Linked DNA regions of Xenopus tropicalis. The protein of the gene in region 1 interacts with the protein of each later gene in a biochemical or structural test. Links are inferred from orthologs where the notes say so. Each region holds a gene or a part of one and is shown in the gene's direction. Other genes may lie near its edges.

Region 1 (8,682 bases):
CATACAACTGATGTGCCTACTGTGTATATAGCTTGGAGTGTATATATTGTTTTATATTGTTTGTAAATCTTGCAAATATTTTCATGTTTTCTAATTAAATGTTTTAAGAAAGGTGTGGTCAGCCTAATCTTATTAGTTTTACATGCATATTACTCACTATTTAAATATAAGTGTAGTACATGTAATGCAACATATGGTTATTTATTTATAAAAGGCTTTATTTTGAGCTTCAAATTAACTGGTTTTAAACACTGGCAGTGTAAATAAAGCCCAGTATTAGCAATAAACCCATAACTTTGTAGAGTGCTTCCCTTCCAACATTTTTTTAAAACATTATAATAAGATGAATGTTATATACTAAGAATTTAAAGCCTGCCCAGTTTCTACTGTGTGTGTATATTGGCCCTTGTGCCATTGTGATGCAGAGGCTGAGTTTGACCTTTCTTTTAATATTTTAGTGTTCTTTAAATTGTTGTTTGGTTAATGTACATTGGAGCTTTAATAAAGCGCTGTCTGTTGTGCAATTTGATTTGGCATTAAATCTAAATGGTTTACATTTTAAATTGATTGAAGCCCAAATTATAACAATACCAGAGAAAAGGCTGGAAATAACAGAAGTCCAATGAAGCAAACCATTCGCAAGCATTAGCCTAACAGGCAGGAAACTTTAATCCTGGTGCCAAAATAGCAATGGGTTTGCTCCTGGGTTGATCACTACTTATTAACAACTCATTATATATACCCTGATCCATTAGCAATGCGTCCTACCTCTTCTGAACTCCAGAATGAATAGCTCATTTCCACTTTTACAGGCAGTGACTTTGATAACTTTCATGTTCATATAGTAAAGAAACCCTTTCTGTGCTCTTGGTGAAATCTCCTTTCCTGCAGTCCTAGGGTGGCTGACTGATCAACCTGTGGGATAACCGTAATTTAGTGCAGTTTACGGTGATGCAAAATTGGCGATTGTATCAAGTACCCATAACCTTCATGTTTAGGTGCAATGGCCTAAAAAATAATGTATGCAATACACACAAGTCTATATGTTAAGCAATGTTTAAAAGCTTCATCTCATGGAATTAAGAAGTGCATTGGCAGATGAAATGTACAGTTCTGATGGGTAAGCTGAGATCTGACAGTATCAAAGGATGGTCTGTTTCTGAGCTAAAATATATGCCCCCAGTCAGGCAGTGTGGCTGCTATTGGTCAGATTTGTCCAACTAAATCAGGGTATGTATTGCTGGCTTTAGTGAGTTCTCACTTGCCAAATGTTTATACAGACTTTGCATAGAATTAGGCATCTTAATTGTATCCCCTATAACTTTGCTCTTCTAAGAAGAATACCATGCATGTCAAATGTTCCATAATAAGATCATATCTTCAGGTGCATATTTATCAAAGGGTGAGAGTGAGCATTTATGATCTTCAAAAATCCTGGTGGAATTTTGCTCTGGGAGAATGTGGCATGATCTGCTTTTACACATAGATAAATATGTCCCTTTGTGAAACCAAATGAATGTGACTTAATATACAGTGCATGGCAGTGCTGCTTGTAGTTTCAGAGAGATCATAGGTTGAAGACTGTCACGGCTTCTAAAACAGATAATGCTGATCATTTTACTTAGGCAATTCTAAGAATTGTCTATGGCAGGGTATTTTCTGGCATTTAGTAGCTGTGAAAAAGTAGCTGCTACTAAGTAGCTCCATGTGTCTTCACCCTAATAAATGCTGAATTTCATCTTTCCCTGTGCCCAATTTGTTTTTGCGTCTAGATCCCCTCTAAGCCACTGCCAATTTTTAGGGCCGTTACACATAGACTTTTTTTTCCACCCCCTACAATATTCCTACATTTCAGACACATCTAATTGCACAGAGCAAATGAATTCCGTTTTTCTCTGGGTTGTAACTATAACTGGGCAGATCTGTATCTGAATATATCCTGGTGTATCTAAGTTGCAATTTGAATACATGCACTTTCCATCACCATTGAGTAAGGGCCCCATGGCTTGGAGAAGTTTGCATTGACCACCATTCAGGTGCAGATGGGAGCATACACAGTTGAATAGCATTGCACAGCTTTTGATTTTTGTACTTCTGCTATTGATCTTCCATTCTGATGCCTGGTTGCTAGGGTAAGCCCTAGCAACTAGGCAGAAGTTGACATTCCAAGCCTAAAGCTGGCCATATACACACCGATGATATTTTATGAAACCTTGTTTCGTACGATATTCGGTGTGTGTATGGTGGATCAACAAGGCTGCGGCTTGTCGATCGGCCAGGTTAAAAGATTTTGATCAAATCTACGTTCAGGGCTGAATCGGCAGGTGAAGGTAGAATTTCTATTGTTTCTACCTCCATATCTGACGATTCAGCCCTGAACGTCAGTGGAGGGTAGGAACAATCTTTTGTGCAAAGATTGAAAATTGCTTCGTGTATGGCCACCTTAAGACTTGCAGAACAAAAACATATTCAAACAATTAATGCTACAAACTACCTTAGAATACTGCTCCTTCTTTAAACCAAGGTGAACACTACCACATTTACATTACACGTTACTTCAGGAAAGGCCCTAAGATTCTGGTGCCCTAGTCTAAAACTGCCTGTGTTGCAAATAGTCTACTGGAGAGACTTTCTGTCAAACAGCAAACCATTGAATTGTTTGACAGAAAGGCTCTCTCTGTTTGCAACACTGTACTATTATACTGGGAGTGGCGAAACCTTACTACTGTTTGAGGAGCCACCTGAACTACTTAGGGGTATATTTATCATGCTGTGTAAAAAGTGGAGTAAAACATTAATGGTGAAGTTGTTTGTAGCAGCCAATCAGATGCTTTGCTTTGGTTTTCTAACTATTGAAATCTAATGCCTGATTGGTTGCCCTGGGCAACATCGCCGGTAATGCTTCATGCCCCTTAGGGGCATATTTATTTTGCTGTGTAAAAAACAGCGAGAAAATTCGCCAGGCTTCGCCGTGTAAAAGCGGCGTAAAATCAGCGGAATTGTTTAATGTGTTTTTTCTTCCACTGAAACTTATGGAAAAAAATCTGGCATTAAGATGGCTTTTCTCTGTTTATTTTACACAACTTTTTATGCTGTTTTTTTGGCGAATTAGTTTCACATAGGTTAATAAATATGCCCCTTAGACTTCTTAATCGTGGGTGAGGTCTAGACATTGTTTGCTGGTAAAACTGCCCCTGTCCTGGCCTATAGTTTATGGCCACCTTTACTCTTCTATCTACTCTGCCCATAATAATGCTTTTGAGTCGGGCACTTCCGGATTAGGCATGGATAGACATTACCCTTCGGCGCCAGGACCCAGAATTCCCGTAAGCTACAGCGACTGGCGGACAGACTCTCAAGTAGGCGGTGCTAGACGTGTGACGTAGCACGCAGGGTTCGGCGGGAGTTTCGGACTGGGCCTGTGGAACAGCTGGGTGAGTGGCTGATACTGGGTAGACGTTCTTGCTGCCTGAGGGTTCTTAGTGGGTACGGAACCTGGCGCTTCTGCCCCTGAGGGGGAGTGGGACCTGCTCTCTGGCTGCTGGCGAGCCCATGTAGTGTAAAGGGGAGCCTATCTGCTGTTGTGTAACAGGTAGCGCTGTAACTGAAGCTACACACTGTATAGGGGATCCTGGCTCATACGCAAGTGACTATAGGAACAGACAGTGGGGTGGGGGTTGCCAGGCAGTGGGGTGGGGGTTGCCAGGCTGTATTATATACTTTTTTAAAAATTCCTGACTTGCTGCTGCAGGCGATTATCCTGGGGAAACTATGGGAGTTGTAGTTCCTGGACAATTCCCTGCGCCTCCCTACTGTAGTGTTTGAGCGGTACCACGGGCGGAAGACACTGGCTTGGCCTGGGGGGGAAGGTCAACAATCAGACATGGCCTACCTGCTGTGCCTCCGGCTACTGCTTTACTACAGATGTGTCTATCACCCATAGAAAGTGTGGCTGCCAATAGTGGGAGCGCTGGGTATTCCTGTGGTACATAATGAGCCTGCTAACAATGTGCTACTTGCCTAGTAACAGCTGATTGACAGGAAGCATGTAGTGCGGCAGCTCTTTAAAAAACAAACCTCTCGTTGCTATGGGTAACTAGATGTGGGCAAAGATGTTTACTATCGACATTTATTGCATTACCCCTTATAAGTCTTCTGTACTTGTTTTGTACCCCTCTGTGGGGGCTTTTGTCTGTCCAATAGACAGTCTCCTGACAAGGGGTTCCACAAGTGATTATTTTCAGTTACTGCTGCAGCAAGTGATGGTTGGTACCACTCCTAACTACTCCAAATCACTGCTTGTGCTGCCCGCAATGCTTTTTCCCCCCAAAACCTTGCATACTCACAAATATATCAGTTAGCAAGTAAACCGTATCATGTTATTGCAAAAAAATATTCTTTTTTGTACCCTAAAGGTAAATATGCAGCTAAAGGATCCCTGAGCACTTTTGATTTTTTTGAGTTTTTGAGACAAGAGGAACACTGCAGGGGTAATGCCCTACACAGAAGCCCCCTCCAATCAGAAGCCTGCTCCCTGTCATTGATCAGACTGGAACATGGCACTCTGCTGCTCCCTCCAAAGCCCTGTACAGTAAAGTGACAGTGCTGGTATGAACTTTATCTGCAAGAACCATCTCATTGGAAGGACCCCTCAGGATAAGGAATTTACCCCTTGAATAACTGTCCTTCCTCCGGAGCACACTTTTAAATATTCTCATATTTGAGAATTTCCTTTTTATTTAAAGATGTGTTATAATTGCATCAGTAGCAGTGTATATGTACTGCTGCATTCCAAACAAATGAATAACATGCCCCAATATTTGTCAGTGGAACACACCTGGTGCTAAGTTCCTGGTCCATCACTCTAAGTGCTCTTACAGTCCACCAGCTGATGAAAACCAAGAAGGAATTTAGAGAGGCAGAACACAATACCGTTTGTGTGTACAAGGTCTTTGGTTTTGTTGCATTTATCTGTTGTATACTACAGTAAGAGACTCATGGTTATATACTAAGCAAGACCTTTTACTCTGTTTTTGTTCAGTGATTAAAATGGCCATGCAAGCTCACTATGAAGCAGAAGCCACAGAAGAGGAGAATTTTGGGCCACAGGCAATATCCCGACTGGAGGTAAAACCGGCCCAGACTGGCCATCTGTGAATTCTGGCAAATGCCAGAGGGGCTGCTGTAAGATGCCATAGACAACTCACTCTTTATTGGGCTGGTGGGGGGCTGTTTGGTCCTCTTCTACATTGTTTTAGGAGCCAGATTCAGTAATGCAGTGAATAAACAACCAGATAGCACTTTAAATCCATTGAAAATGTTTAATAAACGTATATCAAAAAGTTACTTTGAATCAGATTTTTGTATAGATATCTGTTTGTAGCTTTAATTTGCATGTTTTTTCCTAAATCCCTTTGATGTTGTTGATGGTATTTAAATGCATCTGCCTCTGCATACTGTCAGTTACACTCCTAAATAGCTTGCAATCTAATTTCCAATTGGTTAAGTTTTAGTAGTTATTGGATCGTTTCTGACTTAAGTCTCCCTTACCAACAGCAATGTGGGATAAATGCAAATGATGTCAAGAAACTAGAGGAAGCTGGGTTCCACACAGTAGAAGCAGTGGCTTATGCTCCAAAGAAGGAACTGATCAATATCAAAGGCATTAGTGAGGCTAAAGCTGAAAAGATCCTGGTAAGTTCATCAAATGGACCTTTACTCATGTGAAAAGGTTGCCCCTTCTGTGTGTAAAGAGCCAAAATCATTACAGAAATGGTTTCTTATTCAGTAAAAGTATCTTACATGAAACACCTACTTATTCCCTTGTGCCTACCTGAATAGTGTTGGTAAGGGCTGGCTAACTCTGTGCATTAATAGTCAATCAATAAGCAGTGAATCCTTGCTTATTTGTGTTGTACTGCATAATAGATATATGTAATATTTATGAGATTGCATTTTCCTTTGAAAAACTTGCCCTTTACGGCAATAACATGCCCAATCATCCTTGTAGACCTTTGGGATGGTAATTCATATATATATTATTCTTTGTCATTCTCCTTGTGCCCAGGAGGGACGCAAGATTGACCATGTGGGTTATATTTACAGTGGGTGATTGTGAAATGCTAACAGTGAAATTGTATGTGTTTTGCTTATATTTAAGGCAGAAGCCGCCAAACTGGTGCCCATGGGATTCACTACAGCCACAGAGTTTCACCAGAGGCGCTCTGAAATCATACAGATTAGTACTGGCTCCAAAGAGCTCGACAAGCTTCTGCAAGGTGCAGCCTCTGTTACACTTTGTCTTGGTTATGGTTATAATGTAATTAACACTATAGGAAGCTATTTCTGTTTTCTTGCAATTGTCTAAAAACCTGGGTTTCTACAAATAATGTTTGTTTCTTGTGAATAACACTGTTGCTGGCACCTATTACGGGTGTGTCCAGCAGGAACCCTTTATATCAGGGCCATATGAGCCTTAATGTTTAAATGTAATGCATGAAAAATGTAATTCAGTTAATAAAAAGCAAATTCTTTTTTTTCCACTAGGGGGCATTGAAACGGGCTCTATCACAGAGATGTTTGGTGAGTTTCGCACTGGGAAGACTCAGCTGTGTCACACCCTGGCTGTCACCTGTCAGGTAAGGAGTCCTTCTGCACCCTACAAAGCCCTAAGTTATACAGTCATATGAAAAAGTATGAGAACCCCTTTCATCCTGCATAATAATTTACTCCCCTTCCAACAACAAAGAGAAGTGGTATGTCTTATTTCCCAGGAACATATGAGTACTGGGGTGTTTTCTGAACAAAGATTATTTAAAAGGTATTTAAAATGGCCAGTTGACTCTCCTCTTAAGAGTGACAGCATGGGATCTTCAAAGCAACTCGCAAAAGATCTGAAAACAAAGATTGTTCAGTATCATGGTTTAGGGCAGTGATCCCCAACCAGTGGCTCATAAGCAACATATTGCTCGCCACCCCCTTTGATGTTGCTCCCAGTGGTCTCAAAGTAGGTGTCCATTTTAGTTTAGTTTAGTTTAGTTTAGTTTTGGAAGCATAGAGACACAGTTTTATTCCAAGCAGAGTCTTCTGCTGGCCATCAGTCCATGGGGCTACCAAATAGCCAATCACAGTTTTTATTTGGCATCCCCAAAGATCACCTCCAAAGACCCTGCAAGAACATCTTGCTGCAGATGGCATATCTGTACATCGTTCTACCATTCAGCACAATTTGCACAAAGAACATCTGTATGGCAGGGTGATGAGAAAGAAGCCCTTTCTGCACTCATGCCACAAACAGAGCCGCTTGTATGCAAAAGCTCATTTAGGCAAGCCACAGTCATTATGGAACAAAGTTCTTTGGACTGATGAGACAAAAATGGAGTTATTTGGACATGACAAAAAGTGCTTTGCATGGCGGAAGAAGAAAACTGCATTCCAAGAAAAACACCTGCTACCTTCTGTCAAATTTGGTGCAGGTTCCATCATGCTGTGTGGCTAGTTCAGGGACTGGGCCCTTCTTAAAGTCGAGGGTCTGATGAATTCAACCCAGTATCAACAAATTCTTCAGGATAATGTTTAAACATCAGTCACAAAGTTGAAGTTACACAAGGGCTGGATATTCCAACAAGACAATGACCCTAAACACAGTTGGAAACCCTACAAAGGCATTTATGCAGAGGGACAAGTACAATATTCTGGAATGGCCGTCACAGCCCCCCGTCTTGAATATCATCGAAAATCTATAGGATGATTTAAAGCAAGCTGTCCATGCTCGGCAGCCATCAAATTTAACTGAACTAGAGAGATTTTGTATGGACGAATGGTCAAAAATACTGCCATCCAGAATCCAGACACTCATCAAAGGCTATAGGAGGCTACTAGAGGCTGTTACATTTGCAAAAGGAGGCTCAGCTAAGTATTGATGTAATATCTCTGTTGGGGTGCCCATATTTATGCACCTGTCTAATTTCGTTATGATGCATGTTTTCTGTTAACCCAATAAACTTTGTCACTGCTGGAATACTACTGTTTCCATAAAGCATGTTATATATTAAAAGGAAGTTGCTACTTTGAAAGCTCAGCCAATGATAAACAAAACTCCAAAGAATTAAGAGGGGATCCCAAACGTTTTCATATGACTGTAGATAACCCAGTGCAAGGCATTTTAGCTACTGGTGAACAATTAGTCCTGAACACAAGAACTTCACCTTGGAGTTGTAGTTAGATTACAGAAAGTCATAGCTTGGAAATCCTTTTGTGTAGCATTTATGAATAATAGGAATCAATATGGCTATAAAGCCAGCATTTCTCAAATAAGGAGGCCAGTCTCCTACTAACAATCATTTGCAGATCTGCTGTGGTGCATGTGGACACTTCTGCATTTTGTGCCTTTTCCATAGATCCTGGCTGATTTATTAGGTTTACTGCAATCTAAATGACTTCTCACCCACTCTAACCTAGAAATCATTGGTCCAAGAGTATTTGTTCTCTTAAATGACTCCCCTACAGCAATAAGAATGGATAAAAATCATATGATTATAGCACACTGTATTCCTATAGAGTAATAATTTGTGATTTAGATTGATATGTGATTGCTATAAAATAATTTGCAGTACATTTTTCCCTAGAAAAGTTCACATAAGCCTTCCCACACTACTTGACGGTACTTGTTAGACGATCCTG
Region 2 (7,990 bases), on another chromosome or scaffold:
CTATGGCTCGGGAGCCAGATGTGGCTCTTTTGATGGCTGCATCTGGCTCACTGCCAAATCTTTAATAATAAAAATTACAGGGGGCGTGGCCTGCGCTCGGTGGATAGAAGACGTGTTCTAAGGCATAGAACACGTATTCTATCGGCCGAGCGCAGGCCACACCCTCCTTCACATCGCATCCAGCATCCTTGGTACCCATCCTACATTGCCCAGCAGCATCCCCGGCCAAACAGGCCTGAAGCCACATCATCCTCCACAGGCAGCCGCAAATCGAGGGCCCGGCTTAAACATATTGTATGGCTCTCATGGAATTACATTTCAAAATATGTGGTGTTTATGGCTCTCTCAGCCAAAAAGGTTTCCGACCCCTGACATAGACAGTGATATTCTAAGACAATTTTCATTTGGTTTTCATTTTTTTATTTTTTGTGGGGTTTTTTTTTTCATTTATCTAGTTTTTTGTTGAGCCGCTCTCCAGTAACAATTTCAGGAGCTAGGGTCTTGTTTAGCCTAGCAGCCAAAAAGTGGCTTGAAAGAGAGACAAATATAAATAGGAGTGGGACTGAATCAAAAGTAACAATAAAATTGTAGCCTCACAGAGCAATAGCTGCTGGGGCCAGTGACCCTCTATTGAAAACTGGAAAGGTGCAGAAGAGGATGTTGCAAAGAGCTTGGCATAAGAGATTCTGTAATAGACTTAAAAGTGAACCACCCTTCTAAATCTACAGAATATCAAAAATTTAACATGCCCATTTATTTAAACTCAGGCAAAAACAGTCATACCAAAAAGGTAAAATTTTCTATAAAAAATAGAACTATGTGGCTTTGCCAGGAGGTCCTTGCACCTTTTTCCTGCTGGTTTGCTTTTTCTCCCTGCACTCTGTGTTCTATACCCAACTCTGCTACAACTTCCCTAATGTCCTTTTGTTTGTCCCTACTTCCTGAATCTCCCTGGTCTCCATTTCTCATCTGCCCTGGTTTGGGGATCTTTGTAGGGACCTCCACAAAACAGTCCAGTTCTTCTGCTTCTTATTTCTTTAAAATTCTGAAGAAAGAATTGTGGGGCTGACGCATGAGCAGTGGAGTAAAAGAAGAAGCAGGAAAAGGATCACTTTGTGTTGCTTGCACATAAAAACCCTGAGATGGTTCAGTTTACTGCTAACAAGAGCATGGCCCAGGTATCAACCCAGGGATTAACCCTTTCCCAGTGAAATCATTTGCCTCTTTTATGAATTCCTGCAGCTTAGATAGCCTCCAGTACAAGATATTATGCTATAATTACAGAGGAAAAGGAAATAATGAAAAACAAAATGATTTGCCTAAAATGAACTCTATGTGAGATGACTTTTCCCTAATTTATAGCTTTCTGGATAATCGGTTTCCAGAGAAGGAATCCCATACCAGTAAAACAGTATTCTTATAACCACCTATTTTTTTTTTTTTTTTTTTTTATTCCTAGGCAGAGACCAACCTTAAATCTAACCAAAGAGCAAAGGCAAATAATAAACCATGACATTGCTCCTGGGCAGGTGGTGAAAATCATGGCTTTTGCAGGTATAAATCAAGACAAAACATAATGAAGGGATAATGTATTATAAGGGATGAAAATGTTTAATTCCCATCTTTCATATGATTCTAGCTGAATGTTATACTGTGCTCATACACATAAACAATAAAAACATAAATACATAATATGGTGTCCAGATACATTAAAATCAGATCGTTTAGGGGCACATTTACTAACCCACGAATCCGAATTGGAAAAATTCCGATTGGAAAACGAACATTTTGCGACTTCTTTGTATTTTTTGCGTTTTTTTCGTCGCCTTTACGACTTTTCAGAAATTGTCGCGACTTTTCCGTTACCAATACAATTTGCGCGAAAAAATCTTTTGTCAGCAACTTTTTGAAATGTGTTTGCACAGAAGTTCCCACAACTGGCCCCCCACAACACAGCTGAACTGAGTATGAGTATATAATAGTGATGTGCAGGTTGCAAATTTTTTAACCTACCCTGACCCTAACCCACAATAACCAAAACCAGACCAACATTTTGCAGCACTATTTATACACAACCCTTCCCCCTCTAATGTCAGAGGTAGGAGGGATATTAGTCGACACATCACTGGAGGGGGTTGATAAATGTGTTAATGTCATCAAGGGGCTGGTGCAAAACAGAGATGTCACTAAAGTTGGTTACTAGTAGGAACTGTTAGTTAGACCTGCCACCATCCCACTACCCCCATGTAGTGTGCTGGGACAGCCTGACCAGCATATCACTAGTACATACAGGATTTACTGAGGACATTGGTGTTAAAACACGGAGAGAGGGAGCTTTCTGAGGTGGCTTATGCCAACTATAAAGGGCACATTTAACAAAGGTTGAAGTTTTCAGTTTTATTGATTTAATAAATGACAGCCATGTTTGATATAGTGAACATTTAATGAGCTGACTCTATCATGTATGCTTTATAATGTGGGTATTTATTCACACAACTGCACATGAGAATTGTCACAGAAGGTTTTTTTTCTATTATTTAATTTATCGACTAACCTAAAAGAAGATGTTGTGACATAATTCTCAATTTGTTAACAGCCTGTTTTGGTAGATTTAGCTATTAAGTTAAAGAACACATGTGGATAATTATGGCTGCCATACACATTATTCAAAGTAAAATACTAGGAAAATATTTATGTATATTACATTTTTTGTGCTTGAATTTTATTCCTTGAGTTTTGTTGATTTGGAAGGGAAATGTTTATGCACGGAATTACTTATGTAAGAAAGATCATGTTTTAATTATGCTTTTGTGAACATGTTTTCCATCACAATTTTATATTAAAATATCTGTTTTTGTATCTTTATAGGTACTGGAAAAACGTCAACTCTGATCAAGTATGCAGAGAGCAGACCTCACCTTCAATTTTTATATGCCACATTCAACAGGTCTATCGCAGAACATGCTGCCTTGCTGTTTCCCAGGAATGTGAAGTGCAGGACTTTCCATTCTTTGGCCTTTACACAGACTGGTGTATTGTAGGTTTTACTGCTACTGTCGAATCCATGTTCATATCTGTTTTAAATGAAAAAAATATAAATCATGTAAATCTATATGAAATAGCTTTTAAATATTAGCAAACCAGTGTGTGGAATTTCTCACGCCAATTTTTTCTTATTTTTGTCCCTTAAAAGTAGTGACCATGTACCTAGAGTAGAAGAAGACCTTTAGGTTTGTGTGGCCTATAACTTGCTTATTTGTCTCTCCATTTATTATTTAGTCACTGTACTTCTAGTTTTTTGTTTCATATGGCCATAAGTAACATTTTGATTGCTGTTTTGTGGAAGTTGTTGATTGCTGTTATGATGAAGTTGTTAATTAAAGGATCCGTTTTCAAATGATTTCAAAATGTTTTCAATATTGTTAGTTGAAAATGTAATGTATAAAGGCTAGAATGGGTGTATGTCTAAAATAATAGTCAGAACACTACTTACTCCATTGTGTCTCTCTAATCTGTTAGTTGGTGACTAGAACAGGAGCTAACAGAACTGTTATGCCCCATGTGGCCCCCCTTCTAGTCACCATTAGAGAGATGCAAAGGAGGATGTTTTGTTCTGCTAGACATTCATTCACTCCAGCCTTTATAGATTTCATGTTTGGCTAACTATATTGAAAACATTTTTTAATTTGCAACCAGCTTTATTTTTACAATGAACTGTGCGTTAAATCGGTTATGTAATATTAAATGTCAGATATAGGTCTAATAAACCACAGCAGCAATCTCATGTGCTTTAATCCATTAGACCAGTAAAAACTACCTGTTGTTTGTTCCTATGGATTACTAGATTTGGAGCAAAGTTTGGATAACCAAGTAAAAAGGTAAATTAAATGTATCAGGTAATTCCTTTCTCTATATTTATTGCACTTTTAGGTATAAAAATAGAAATAAATTAAACCACTCCAAGCTGACACCATTTGCAGTAAACTTTGTTCTTCCTGAAAAAATGGCTGGATTTATCAGGGCAAAGCTTGTTGTGAAGACTCTTGAAACATTCTTCTCTTCTGCTGATGAAAATATAGATGTAGAGCATGTTCCTATCTGGTGCAAAAATAATCGTGGAAATCAAGTGCTGGTGACAGAAGAAGAAAAACTGGTGAGTGCTTTGACATCAAATCTGAAAAACTGAGTATTCCACTGCTCATTTAAGCTTGTGCAACTAACGACTGTTGAGGTTTGGTAGAAGCTGCATCTTTTTGTGCTGTTATCTATTTAGATGTTTGAGTACCTTTTGACAATTTGTAATTCATTTTTGCCATCTAAAACAGAAAGGTAATAATCCTCATCTAATAACTGTTTACTATTTAATAAAGCTATGTTATGTTACTGTGCGTCTATGGCTAATGTGACACCAGTCAGCTTTTAGTAGTTTTGGCACTGCTGATTACCTGGGAAAAATTAGGGGTATTTCACACTGTCATATCTTTGTGCGATATTAGTTTGAGTGGTGAAAACAATGGATGACCAACTTTATTAATTGATATTTGTTCTTGATTGTTCCCCAGTTTACTGTAAGGGAAGCCTCTAAGATATGGAGGGAGATGAAACTCCTTAAGGAAACCAGACAGTTTGCTTATAAAATGACGCCCGATGGTTCGTAAGCAAAACAGTTTTATTATTTTTATTTTGTTTTTGTTTTATGGCCTGTTGTCCATTATGGTTTCCCCTTTGACTTTGATTTTCATTTTTTTTTTTTTATTATTCTTGTTCTTCTACTTATTTTTCTTCTGTCCCCCTATTTTTGCTTTTTTGTTCTGTAAGCTATAATATTCTCCCCCGATTAAGTTTTCTCATACTTTTTCTCATTTATATGAGTTATAAGAATAATAGTAAAATGAATCCAGGATTCATTTGGGATTCATCCAAATTTGAACCTTTTTCACCAGGATTTGTATTCGTCTGAATCCAAGTGCCTGGCCGAACCAAACCTTAAATATCACATGACTTTAGGCCACACATTTGAGAAAAACACATAATTGTTTCTTTTTTGCAAATAAGGATTTGGTGCTACCTTAGCTGGTCTGGTGGACCTTTTTCAGTAATATTGGATTTTATTAACCTGTTACTCAACCATGTCCATCAGTTTTTGGGTTAGGATATCTGATTGCGATAGGCTTTGTTTTTATAGCAATTACACATATAAGAGTCAGCAGCTTTTATCATCTCATGTAGGGCCACTATTGGCCTTAAGGAGTGCCCCCTTAGTGTTCAAAGCACTTGTGCCAGTAGTAGTTGTAATTGAGCAAAATAGTATGGTACTGATAGATTTTAGCTGCATCAATCGAGTCAACAATGTGGAAAAGAATAGTATACATAAATACTGTTAATATTTGAAATTCTTATTCATAACATATAGCTGTTAAAATGATATGTACAACTAAAGTTTGAATGCATGTTAAAAAGTGACGGATGGATTTAAGAATATTGATCTGTGCCAGGAATGCTTAGTTAGACAGGATAGAAAGAATAAGGAACAAGACAGTACAGCAATTTAAAGTGATATTGACACATTCCAAAGAAAGTCTACAGGAACATTTCAGTGAATTGTGTACAAATTGCTGCATGAAAATGGTACTACAGCCCATTGAAGGATTACATCTCCCCAGTCCATTGTGACTAACACAACCAACTCTCTGCAGCCTCTTATTATAGATAAATGTTCATTTCTTTTCCCAAAGGCTACCTGAAACTTTGGCAGCTACGTAGGCCCCGCCTCACAGGTTATCATGCAGTATTTGTTGATGAAGCTCAAGACTGCACGCCAGGTTTGTAAGTCTGTAATGAAGTAATGCATGTGATTAAAAAAAAAGTCTATATTATAGTCCAAAGTGTGGATTTTGATAAATGGAGGAGATGTTTACCAGGATTCAGTAATTTGTGAGCAGTTTGTATACATTTTTACAAATAAAGTGCTCATGTATGTGATTAAATAGAATTATGATAAACTTTTGTCCATATTTTATGGTTTTCCTTGTGATACATTTATAATCAGGACCAACTGAAATTTAAATGAGTTTTTTATTTGCAAATGTATTTTTTATTTGAATGCAGCCATAATGGATGTAGTACTTTCTCAGCCCTGTGGGAAGATTTTTGTTGGTGACCCTCATCAGCAGATTTATACATTTCGTGGGGCTGTCAATGCTCTTTGTGAAGTTCCACACACTCACATCTTCTACCTCACTCAGGTAACATACAATGGAATAGTTTCGCTATTATACGAACTTCTGATTATATTTGTTTTTCTCTATGTTGTACAATGATTTAGCCTTGTTTAATCTGTATGTAATGATTAATTTATATAATCCTTAAGATCCTAAAAGGTTACAACAAAGGTGATTGTTGGTCATTGATTTTGGATTTATTTTTATTCTAAATAGGTGAATTAGTCCTGCACCTAAATATTTTCTCCACAGTGTTAGTCTGTAGATTTTATGCACAGTTGCTTTAACTTTGCATGTACATGCAAATGTACATTTTTAAACTTTTTTGTAAAATAGATTTGGAAATTGACACTCTCCCATGAAGGTTGTAGCTTGTCAATAATCTTTAACTGTTATCCTACTGAAGAGGTAGTTCACATTCAAATTACATTTTAGTATGATGTAGACAGTGATAATTTGAGACAATTTGCAATTAGTCTTCATTTTTATGATTTATTTAGCTTTTTGTTCATCAGTTCTCTGTTTTGGTACTTTAGCAGCTTAGTTGTAGATAAGTTGCTTTAGGTCTTATTTGGCCTAGCTACCAGGAATTCATAAAATAAAATTGTAGCCTCACAGAGCAATAGTTTTTTGATTTCTGAGGCCTGTGACCCCCATTTGAAACCTGGAAAGAGGTATAAGAGGAAGGCAAAGAGAGAGAGCAGTAATGCTTTCTGCACTAGAAAAGCTGAAATTTTGAATTAAAAATCAGAATTTTTTCTCAGCTCACCTGATGGCAGAAGAGCCCCTGCATAGGATTAAGGTGTCCGCTTCTCCAAGCCATTTACTTTAAATTCCCCAGATGGATGATCTTATGAAATTGTCCGTGGACCATGCTGGACTACAGTTATCTAATGTTTACTTAAAAGATCTACTTGTAAATTGCAAATTGGGCACCCCTACTGTACCCCATGTGTGCGGTAATTATAAATTCGAACCCTTAAATTCTGTTTTATCTTCAATTTTAGAGCTTTCGGTTTGGTGCAGAAATAGCTTATGTTGGTGCCACTGTTCTTGATGCCTTCAAGAAAGTGAGGAATAAAACTCTAGTTGGAGGTTTTCAGGAAGGTATGGTATAGATTTGATTTCCTATTATTAAAGGGATACTGACACACCTGCATCATGCCCTAAAGTTGATTTTATGGGAGATTATTTTTATTTCTAAACAAGAGGTTCAGTACAACGGACTGAAGTCAAGGTCAGACTGATGTTGAAATTCATGAAGCATGACAAACTCATGTTTATTTGTTGTCAAGATCTTTTGATGGAAATAAGCTACTTTTTTTTTTTTTTTAAAAGTTTGTTTTTAAAATATAATTAATATTGTGGGTCTTGCTATCTGAATGAGTTTTTTCTCTTTAAAACAGAATAATGGCTAATAGATATGTATGCATGTTTTTTTATATTTAATGTGCTGCATTTAGTAGATCATTTTTAGAAATTATTTTTTTCTTGGTTGTAGGCAACATTAATGGGCAGTCCCAAGAAAAGCCTGCTATTTTGTGCCGAACAAATTCCTGCGTCTTTGATGAAGCTGTTCGAGTGACTGAAGGAGAAAAACCTGCACAAATCCATATAATAGGCGTAAGGCTGAAACACTAAGAAATGCAACTAAGTCTTTATCTGCTACAAAGATAGAAGAGAGAAGAAAGAGAGTTCTTAATTTTTCTCTTTTTTTATAGCAAAGAAGGGAAAGTTGTACTCACCAGTACAGTAAACAATTTTAAAAC
Region 3 (7,773 bases), on another chromosome or scaffold:
AAGCCAGACTTGGATTTCTTACTATTGAGTGCTATTCTGATACCTACTGGGAGCTGCTATCTTGCTCCCTTCCCATTGTTCTGCTGATCGGCTGCTGGGAGGAGGGTGATATCACTCCAACTTTTGCAGCGCAGCAGTAAAGTGTAACTGAAGTTTATCAGAGCGCAGGTCACATGGCTGCGGCGCCCTGGGAAATGAAAAATATGACAAGCATCATGTGAAATTTCAAAATTAAATAAAAAAAAATCTGTTTGCATTTTTTTAAAAAACAGATTTTTAATGCAGGATTCTGCTGGAGAAGCTTTTGTATTTTACAGTATTCCTTTAAGTCCACTAAAAAAACATTTAAACATGAACCCAATTGGATTGTTTTGCCAGCAATATGCTTTCCTGGAGCTTTAATATTATAGAAAAAAAAAATCAAAGCCATTATAATTATGTGCTCAAAATAGATTCTGTGGAATATGGCCTTCCTGAAATTCCTGCTTTCTGGATAACAATTTCCAGATAAGGGATCCCATACCTGTACAAAGGTGGATTCAGAGCCTTTTCTAATGCATTGTACTAAAAGTACATAAACATGTCTGCAATAGAAAGGCTTGTTCGCAATTTGTCTTCTTTAGAGAAGGCACTGCACTCTGATTGTAACAGGAGTCTAATGCATTATGATTTTTCTTTTTTTAATCGCCTATTAGAATTTAAAATTTTGCTGAATCAGCTATTAAAATGTAAAAGATGAATGCAGATGGGGTTTTATTTTTGTCACCCTTCTCTGTATGTAGATAGATGCAGATTAAAAGGCAATTGTGTTGGGAAAGCAAAGGTTTCTGAAGTTACCTTCACTGCTCCACCATATTTGTTGATAAACAATCTTGTGTAAAAACCCAGACAGATGCCTTGTTCCGTTGCTGTGTAAGGACTAGAGCCCAGTTTATAGCATGAATATCTGTTTATAGAAGCAAGCAGAGGCTATTGAGTATAAGTGATTCTAACAAGCCTTTTTCACATCTTGAAGGTTTTGTCTCTATTTATCAGAATGCTAACTGCTTTTCCTCATCTCTCCAGCAAAAAAAATGCTCTCTGCTGCTTTTCATTTAAAAGTAGTCTGTGGGTGTCCACACTTACAGCGAGCACATTCTTTGTTGAATAAATTCCTTCTGGGGAGAGAGGAAAGGACTTTTTTTTTTTTTCTCATGACTGCTGAGCTATTTTGACAAGTTTAAAGGTGCAATTAGGTCCCGGACTGAGGGAGCTTTCTGCTGGCTGATATGTCCTTTAACGGAAACATTTCTCTGCTCTACTTGCAGAACGAGCAAGCCTATGATGAGGTGTTTCAGAATGCCAACTTCCGTTCTTACACGTTTAGGATTCGAGTTAAGCTAGAGACATACAATGTAAGTATATTCTACTTATACTGTTCACTCCCTTTTAGTTTACTTGTAATAACCAAACATTCCCTCAGTGGTCTTTGCTGCACTCACTCATTTTGGAGGCTTCATTTTATTTTTGTGTTTTTGCACTTTATGATGCTTTGCTTGAGTAACCATAGGACAGCAACTTATGGTAAAATGCAGTACAGACAGCATGTCTTCTGATTCACCAGCAACCACATACTGGAAGAAATGTCAGAGCATTTTGTGTTGGATGCATGGAAGCACCTAAACAATTGCATAGGTACTATTATGCCTCAACTGCAAGGTTGTAAGCTCTCATAAACTGTGTTCTCATATCCATTATGTTCTGTTTGTCTCTATGGAATATGTTGGCATTTTTTAATTATCTAAAATAATGAAATAGTCCAAAGGCTTACATATTGATCCTTTGATTTAGACCCCTTTCCCAATATATTGTATTGATGGCCTTTGCTTCTACAGGTATACAAAACTGCAAATTACAAGAAGGAACCATGAGAGAAGGCCTTATATCATGGTCCATTTTAAGCAAATAATGTTTTTGATACTTATTGCTATGCTATACTAATTAGTTACCAAGAAGCAGAAGATACTGTTTAAACTCCATACATTTGTGGCAGAACAGTACTATTGAGTTTGTTTAATGTTGAAATGCTTTTTTTTAGTTGACTTAAGGTTAGGTGATCCCCCTTATCTGAAAAAACCCCAGGTTCCACAAAAATCTGGGTAATTCCATACCTCAACAATAAATCTAGCAAATAAACAAAATGCCTTATATTCTGCACCTTGAAAATTTGGAAGTTATACACTGAACTCTGCTCTGCTGCACATATTTGCGGGAAACAAGATGGTTGCATGTTACTTACTAGAGTAGTTCCCTGGGTCAGGGAATTTTTTAAGCCAACAGTGGAACCAGCCTGGGCTCTGAGATTAGTGGTTCTAATCGTTTAAGGATGTTTAACAACTGGAGACCAGTTATTAAGACTTTCCTTGTCCTTCTAAGGATGTGCTCAGTTAATTTAACTCCTGTGTGGTAGTGGCAGAATTCTATGTGGGTGTAAAGTGGCCTTGAGTATTTATTACATTTCTAAAGAATCATAAAATTTGATTAATAAATTGTACAACATTAAGAAGTCAGAAGGTACTAGACTGCATTTTATTCAGCATGCATAATGCAGAATATGCTAAAGTTTTAAGATATTAGGTTAATAGGTACTTAACGTCTCCTAAGTTTATTAATCCAAGCAGGAATTTTGGAGACAGTAAATATATTCCAAGGCTTGACAGATACTAAACCGTCTGAACAGAAGAAAGCGCATGAGCTGGCAGAGTGCAAGAAACCAGGAACTTTGCTTCTTTGGATGACTTGCTGTATTGCTTGTGTAAAATTTCAGATTAAATTGGTGGAGCAGATTCCACCTCCTGCAAAAACAGGTGGAGGCATGATGTGTGTTAGCTTTTATCTCTACACTGACACCGACTGTGGTACATCAAAGGAGCACAATGCTGTGTTGTGTTTGACTCAAGGCAGAACCCTTGGGAAAAAGTGGGTTTAGTGGGGATGCAGCAGCAGGGAAATGACCCTTACTCTATTCCACACAGTGACCTATTGAGGCATGACTCTGTCGGGGGACTGCTATAACTTTAAGCTGGTTACCGTACCATATTGTAATGGTGGCCTAGAACAGTGACCTGGGGAGATTTGGAGGAGTATGTCTATTTGCTCTTTTAGATACACCTAGAAGAAAATGTTCAAGGTTAATTAGGCTAAGACAGAGTGAAAAACGATCTTTGCAGATATTCTTATAACTATTGCTGAATGTATAATGTTTGTTTTACTCTGACCTTGTTATGAGCCGATAGGAACCCTTGTTTTCTAGCTTATTTTTTTTTGTAAAGCTTTAAGTTGGTCTTTAAATGTCTTCATTTTTAGTCTTTAACCAGTGTATTTTTGTTTAAAAGGATGAATCTCGTATAAAGGCCACAGCAATGGATGTGAAGCCCGTTGACCACAAAGAATACTCTAGAAGGCTGATTATGAACATTAGGAAAATGGCAGCTCAAGGTGTCTGATTTGCCATAAAGACCGTGATAAATCACTTAAAAGATATGGGAACGAAAATAAAATGTTTCATGGATGGACCAATACTAAAGCACTGAAGCTTAAACTGCATCATCTTCAAAATGATATAACCATTAGCACTTGCTCCCCAGAGTGTCCAGCTAGACCAAGTGAGCCGGAATAGATATAAGCATACATTCTTTTCATTCTGCTTTCCTTAAAACTCTCATCAACAAAGCAAAGCGTTCTCTACTGCTCTCATGGATGAGAAAAGGCCCCCAGCAGAATCCCCAAGGGGGGGTGGTCATTTGCATTTGTCATTGCTTACTGTTTAATTCTGTATGTATCCCAGATGCAGAGGAGGTAATGGAAGAACTGGATTGGACATTTGTTTGCTTCATTTTAATTTTGAATGCATAATTTGTGAGTGCCCTTCCTTTTGTGCAAGTATGTAGTTACCTTTAAGGAAGGCTTCCTTTCTTTTGGCTTTAGGTGCCATGAGTAGTATATTGTTTGGGGACTCCCTGTCTTCCTGTAAAAGACCTGGGGCTCCCAACCTCCTCTGCAAGTTTCTGCATCAGCCGGATGGATGTGCCATACTGTTTGCTAACGCTTGGAATGACAATATGGAAGAATTATTAATCAAAGACCTATCTTTTCTATCTGAAGACTTTCCTTCGGGGTTTAATAGACTGAGTCAGATGGCCCTGATATTAATCAAAATTCTCTCTTCTGAGGAGCTCTGATAAGCATTGACTCTCTGCCCCCTGGGGAAATCTGGCCAACTACAAAGCTTTGCTTTATTTTTCATTTAAATTAATATTTTGCTTTCTTACTCTCCCCTTTTCTTGACAGTGTGTAATTGCCAAAGTTTGCCGTTTGTACATTTACTGCTTCTCCTACACTTAAACTACTTTGCTATTTTTTTTTTCTTTTCTCAATGACTGAATTAATCGCTGTAGTTATAATGCAAAGAAAGGGGTTTCCTTTTATCCCCTAAACAAAATTAAAAGAAAAAGTTTAATTTTGCATGTGTGTTTGCCTTTGTATAACCCTGTTTCTACTGGAGAGCAATTAATATTTTCTTGGTGGAATAAGGTGAGAAATGCTGATATTTCCCAGGCATTATTACCATTTGCTTTGCTCAGATAGGATTCTTGACTTTCACTGGTTTTAAAGAGCTGAGACAGCATTTTTGCATGCTTTTATTGACATGTGCAGAGCCCTTGGAAAGCAGGAAGGATTTAGAATTTGCCTAGAAAACTGTAATTCTGCTGGTGGGATGCATTAGGAGCTCTGTGCTGCCCCAGTGAGGGCTTCATTATATTCACTGCATGTCTTCTTCCTTTGGATAACTTATCTGCTACAGAAATCAGTGTTCTAAAGAATCCAAGTCTGTACTACCGTCATTTAGCTTTTTTTCCCCTGGCCTTCCTTGGCGGCACAGAATTTACAACTGAAACAGCTTTCCAAATGTCACCCACCGTTTTCATTAAGATGTAGAAAACAGTAACAAATTGGTACATTTGCTGCCTCAAAAAATGGTCTTTTGCCGTGTGTTAGTCCTAGGGATATGTTGCAAAGAACTCTCAAATCCTAAAATGGTTTTAATCCAAACGTAAGCGCTAACTCAGTGTGTTTCAGCCCCATGCAAGGGTCTTTCATCAGAGGCCAAATTATTCCTTACAGCAGGGTGTATAGGGGAAATACGATATTTATATTCAATAGCATGCTCTGTATTCAGGCCCAGACTGGCAATCTGTATTCTGGCAAATGCCAGTGGTGCTGCTGTAAGATGCCTGTTTGGGTCTATGTGTACTTTAAAAGCCGGGGCCTACTTTAAATCCCAGTCCAAGCCTGTCTCTATTATATCTTTTGATCAGTATGGTAGGGCTTGTCAAAATCTTGGGTTAACACCAAAAATGAAAGAGTTTGACATGCGTATAAATATAATGTGCTGTTACTTTGCAAGAATTGTTTTTTCTTTGGAAATAACTAGATGGTTTATATAAATTAGCTGCAGTATAGCCCTGGGGGCAGTAATTCAAGTTAAATAGGGCAAAAAAAAAAAAAAAGCAACAGTGAGTATAGGCTAGGACAGCCTTTCTATACTACTGTACATTTTTCAGCTGTTTGTATAGCAATAATAATGTCTGTAGCCAATATGGAAATTCATTTGCACTAGGCAGGTGAATGCAAAGTATAATAAACTCACCAAAAGTACTATACTGTGTATGCACCTAAACATTTTGGTAATGTGAATTCAGTATGGCATTCTTCAAGAAAGTAACCTAGGCCAGTGTTATTTTTATGGGAAGTGTGCACTGCCCTGAGCCACTAGCTGTTTCACTCCCTAGGGGATATCCAACGCATTGGCACCAACCTATAGTTTAACCTTTACTTCTCCTTTAATATATATTTTTTAAGTGTTGATCCAATGAAAGGTTGATGGTTTGGGTTCTCTTGTACAAACTAGACACCACTAAACAGGTTTAGTTGCCCTTGCTACCAAGCAAAATATAATGTTACCTGTTGGTTCATGGTTCTAGTTAAGTTTAAATACATGAGGAAAAGGTCCCTTTTGATTTAAGCAAGGAACAACAAGATTGTCAGGACTGTGTGAACAAGGCAGAAGTTCCCTAAAATAAGAGCAAAGGGCATGAATCTGTAGAACCTGGTGGTGGTGTGTGTACATGCTGCTCACTGCCAGTGGCCTATGTGAGAATGCACTCAGACAGCATGCAAATAAATGGTTCAGTGCATTCCCAAGTCAGTGAGACCTGAGGCTGGTGCCTTTATTAGCGCCTTTATGGCTTTTGCTAGGTGATATGCATACTGCCATTTTCATACCTTCAACTTTAAGTTGATTTTACAAACAAGGGTTGCAATAAAAATATGCTCTAAGGGCCCTGTTTCCAAAAGTTTGCAATCTAAAGTGCATTGAAAATTCTTCTACAAAATACATTTACACATTTTAGCCACTGACTACTGTGCCATATAAATGGCACAAGTACCTGTATATTCCAAAGCCATTATACTAGCACAGTAGGCAAGCCTGGTTACACACTAAATTACAATGTAAGTAGTGAAGGCATTAACCTTGAGCAAGGAAAGCTCTATGACGTCTCCTACTTGCTGCTCTGTTACCCGCCAGCCATGTCTCATCATCAAGTCATTACAAATAAAATATTCCCATAAAAGAGAATCAAGGCAAAGTATATGTTTTTAGATGTTTGTTTATGACAACTCCAAACGTATTCTGGTTTCCCCAGACTTACTATTTGCCATATTAATTACATGCTCTGGCATGAGAGGGAGCTAGTATCTTATCATTTTGATTTTCTTTTGTTCACAGCATTGTCCTTCATTGCAAACAGTAATGATATTGCTGCTATAATTTGCCCCTAGGAGAAATGCATTGTATTCTGTGCCCTTTGTTATGGAACTTTGGCTTTCTGGGCATGCATTTGCAAAGTTAATATAAATGAAAATGATAAATGTGGCAGTGGTGGGACAGTCGCTAAAAGGCTAAGTGCTTTTCCCTAATAACGGATCCAATATACGTTGGCACATGTGACAAGGCTTTGAAGTGCGACGGAGTAAATATAATCTTTGTCTATCTGATCGAGATGAGCTTTGAACAGAGTGTTCTATGGAAGAGTATGTCTGATGTTCAGAGGAGAATTTCTCCTTTCTTCTTCTCTGCAGTTCACAGAGCTGAGTCTGAGGTCGAATCTGCACTTTCGCAAACTCCCGGCATCCCTCTTAGCTGCTTGTGCTCTTGAAACAGCATCCATAGCTTTTTTAATTTTATTTGGAGGCAGTGAGAGGGTTTCCCTCCACCCTTTTCCTCCTCCGGCTGGTGCCTTGCTGGGAAGTCTCCTGTTCTGACCTTGCTGAGAAGCGCACGCCGCACACTCATACACGCCACTCTGTTAGACTGACAAATTATAGGTTGAAAAGCAGCCATCAGTCTTTGTGTTAGTGTAACCCACCTTTTTTATTTCTAATCCTTCCAACCTCCAATTTGCACTGGAATTGGCGGGGACATGTGGCAACTGTGACAGCTTTGTCCCAAGAGAAGGATGGCATGCCTTGCCCTGCTTATCCAACATACCGAAGTCCCCATACACCCCCCACTGCCTACTTAGTCATGCCTTCTAAATTAGTGCCCAGTGCTAAAACTTTATCACATCTATTGCCGAACATGTCTCATCCCATTATGCCTACGACGTTATTACAAAGCTGCTCAATTATTTAAGGCTCATTTTTATTAACCACATTTTTAACTAGAATCTC

The links. The genes of interacting proteins can lie anywhere in the genome.
Region 2: the proteins of rad51 (region 1) and fbh1 form a complex in vitro, tested with the Homo sapiens proteins (2 studies listed by BioGRID, with this or other methods). The link is inferred for Xenopus tropicalis from reciprocal best matches to the Homo sapiens genes RAD51 and FBH1.
Region 3: the proteins of rad51 (region 1) and rpa1 form a complex in vitro, tested with the Homo sapiens proteins (2 studies listed by BioGRID). The link is inferred for Xenopus tropicalis from reciprocal best matches to the Homo sapiens genes RAD51 and RPA1.

The regions. Positions count from the first base shown.
Region 1 is NC_030684.2:115,024,312-115,032,993, forward strand, and holds the start of rad51 (DNA repair protein RAD51 homolog 1), read left to right. Parts: upstream 1-3,399; 5' UTR 3,400-3,434; intron 3,435-3,492; exon of another isoform or gene 3,493-3,592; intron 3,593-4,415; 5' UTR 4,416-4,948; intron 4,949-5,041; 5' UTR 5,042-5,049; coding exon 5,050-5,127; intron 5,128-5,556; coding exon 5,557-5,694; intron 5,695-6,160; coding exon 6,161-6,278; intron 6,279-6,546; coding exon 6,547-6,638; intron 6,639-8,682.
Region 2 is NC_030679.2:84,414,134-84,422,123, reverse strand, and holds part of fbh1 (F-box DNA helicase 1), read left to right. Parts: intron 1-1,459; coding exon 1,460-1,554; intron 1,555-2,868; coding exon 2,869-3,037; intron 3,038-3,930; coding exon 3,931-4,153; intron 4,154-4,562; coding exon 4,563-4,650; intron 4,651-5,735; coding exon 5,736-5,822; intron 5,823-6,108; coding exon 6,109-6,245; intron 6,246-7,228; coding exon 7,229-7,328; intron 7,329-7,722; coding exon 7,723-7,844; intron 7,845-7,990. UniProt on the Homo sapiens protein: 3'-5' DNA helicase and substrate-recognition component of the SCF(FBH1) E3 ubiquitin ligase complex that plays a key role in response to stalled/damaged replication forks.
Region 3 is NC_030678.2:36,004,748-36,012,520, reverse strand, and holds the end of rpa1 (replication protein A 70 kDa DNA-binding subunit), read left to right. Parts: intron 1-1,307; coding exon 1,308-1,394; intron 1,395-3,374; coding exon 3,375-3,485; 3' UTR 3,486-4,498; downstream 4,499-7,773. UniProt on the Homo sapiens protein: As part of the heterotrimeric replication protein A complex (RPA/RP-A), binds and stabilizes single-stranded DNA intermediates that form during DNA replication or upon DNA stress.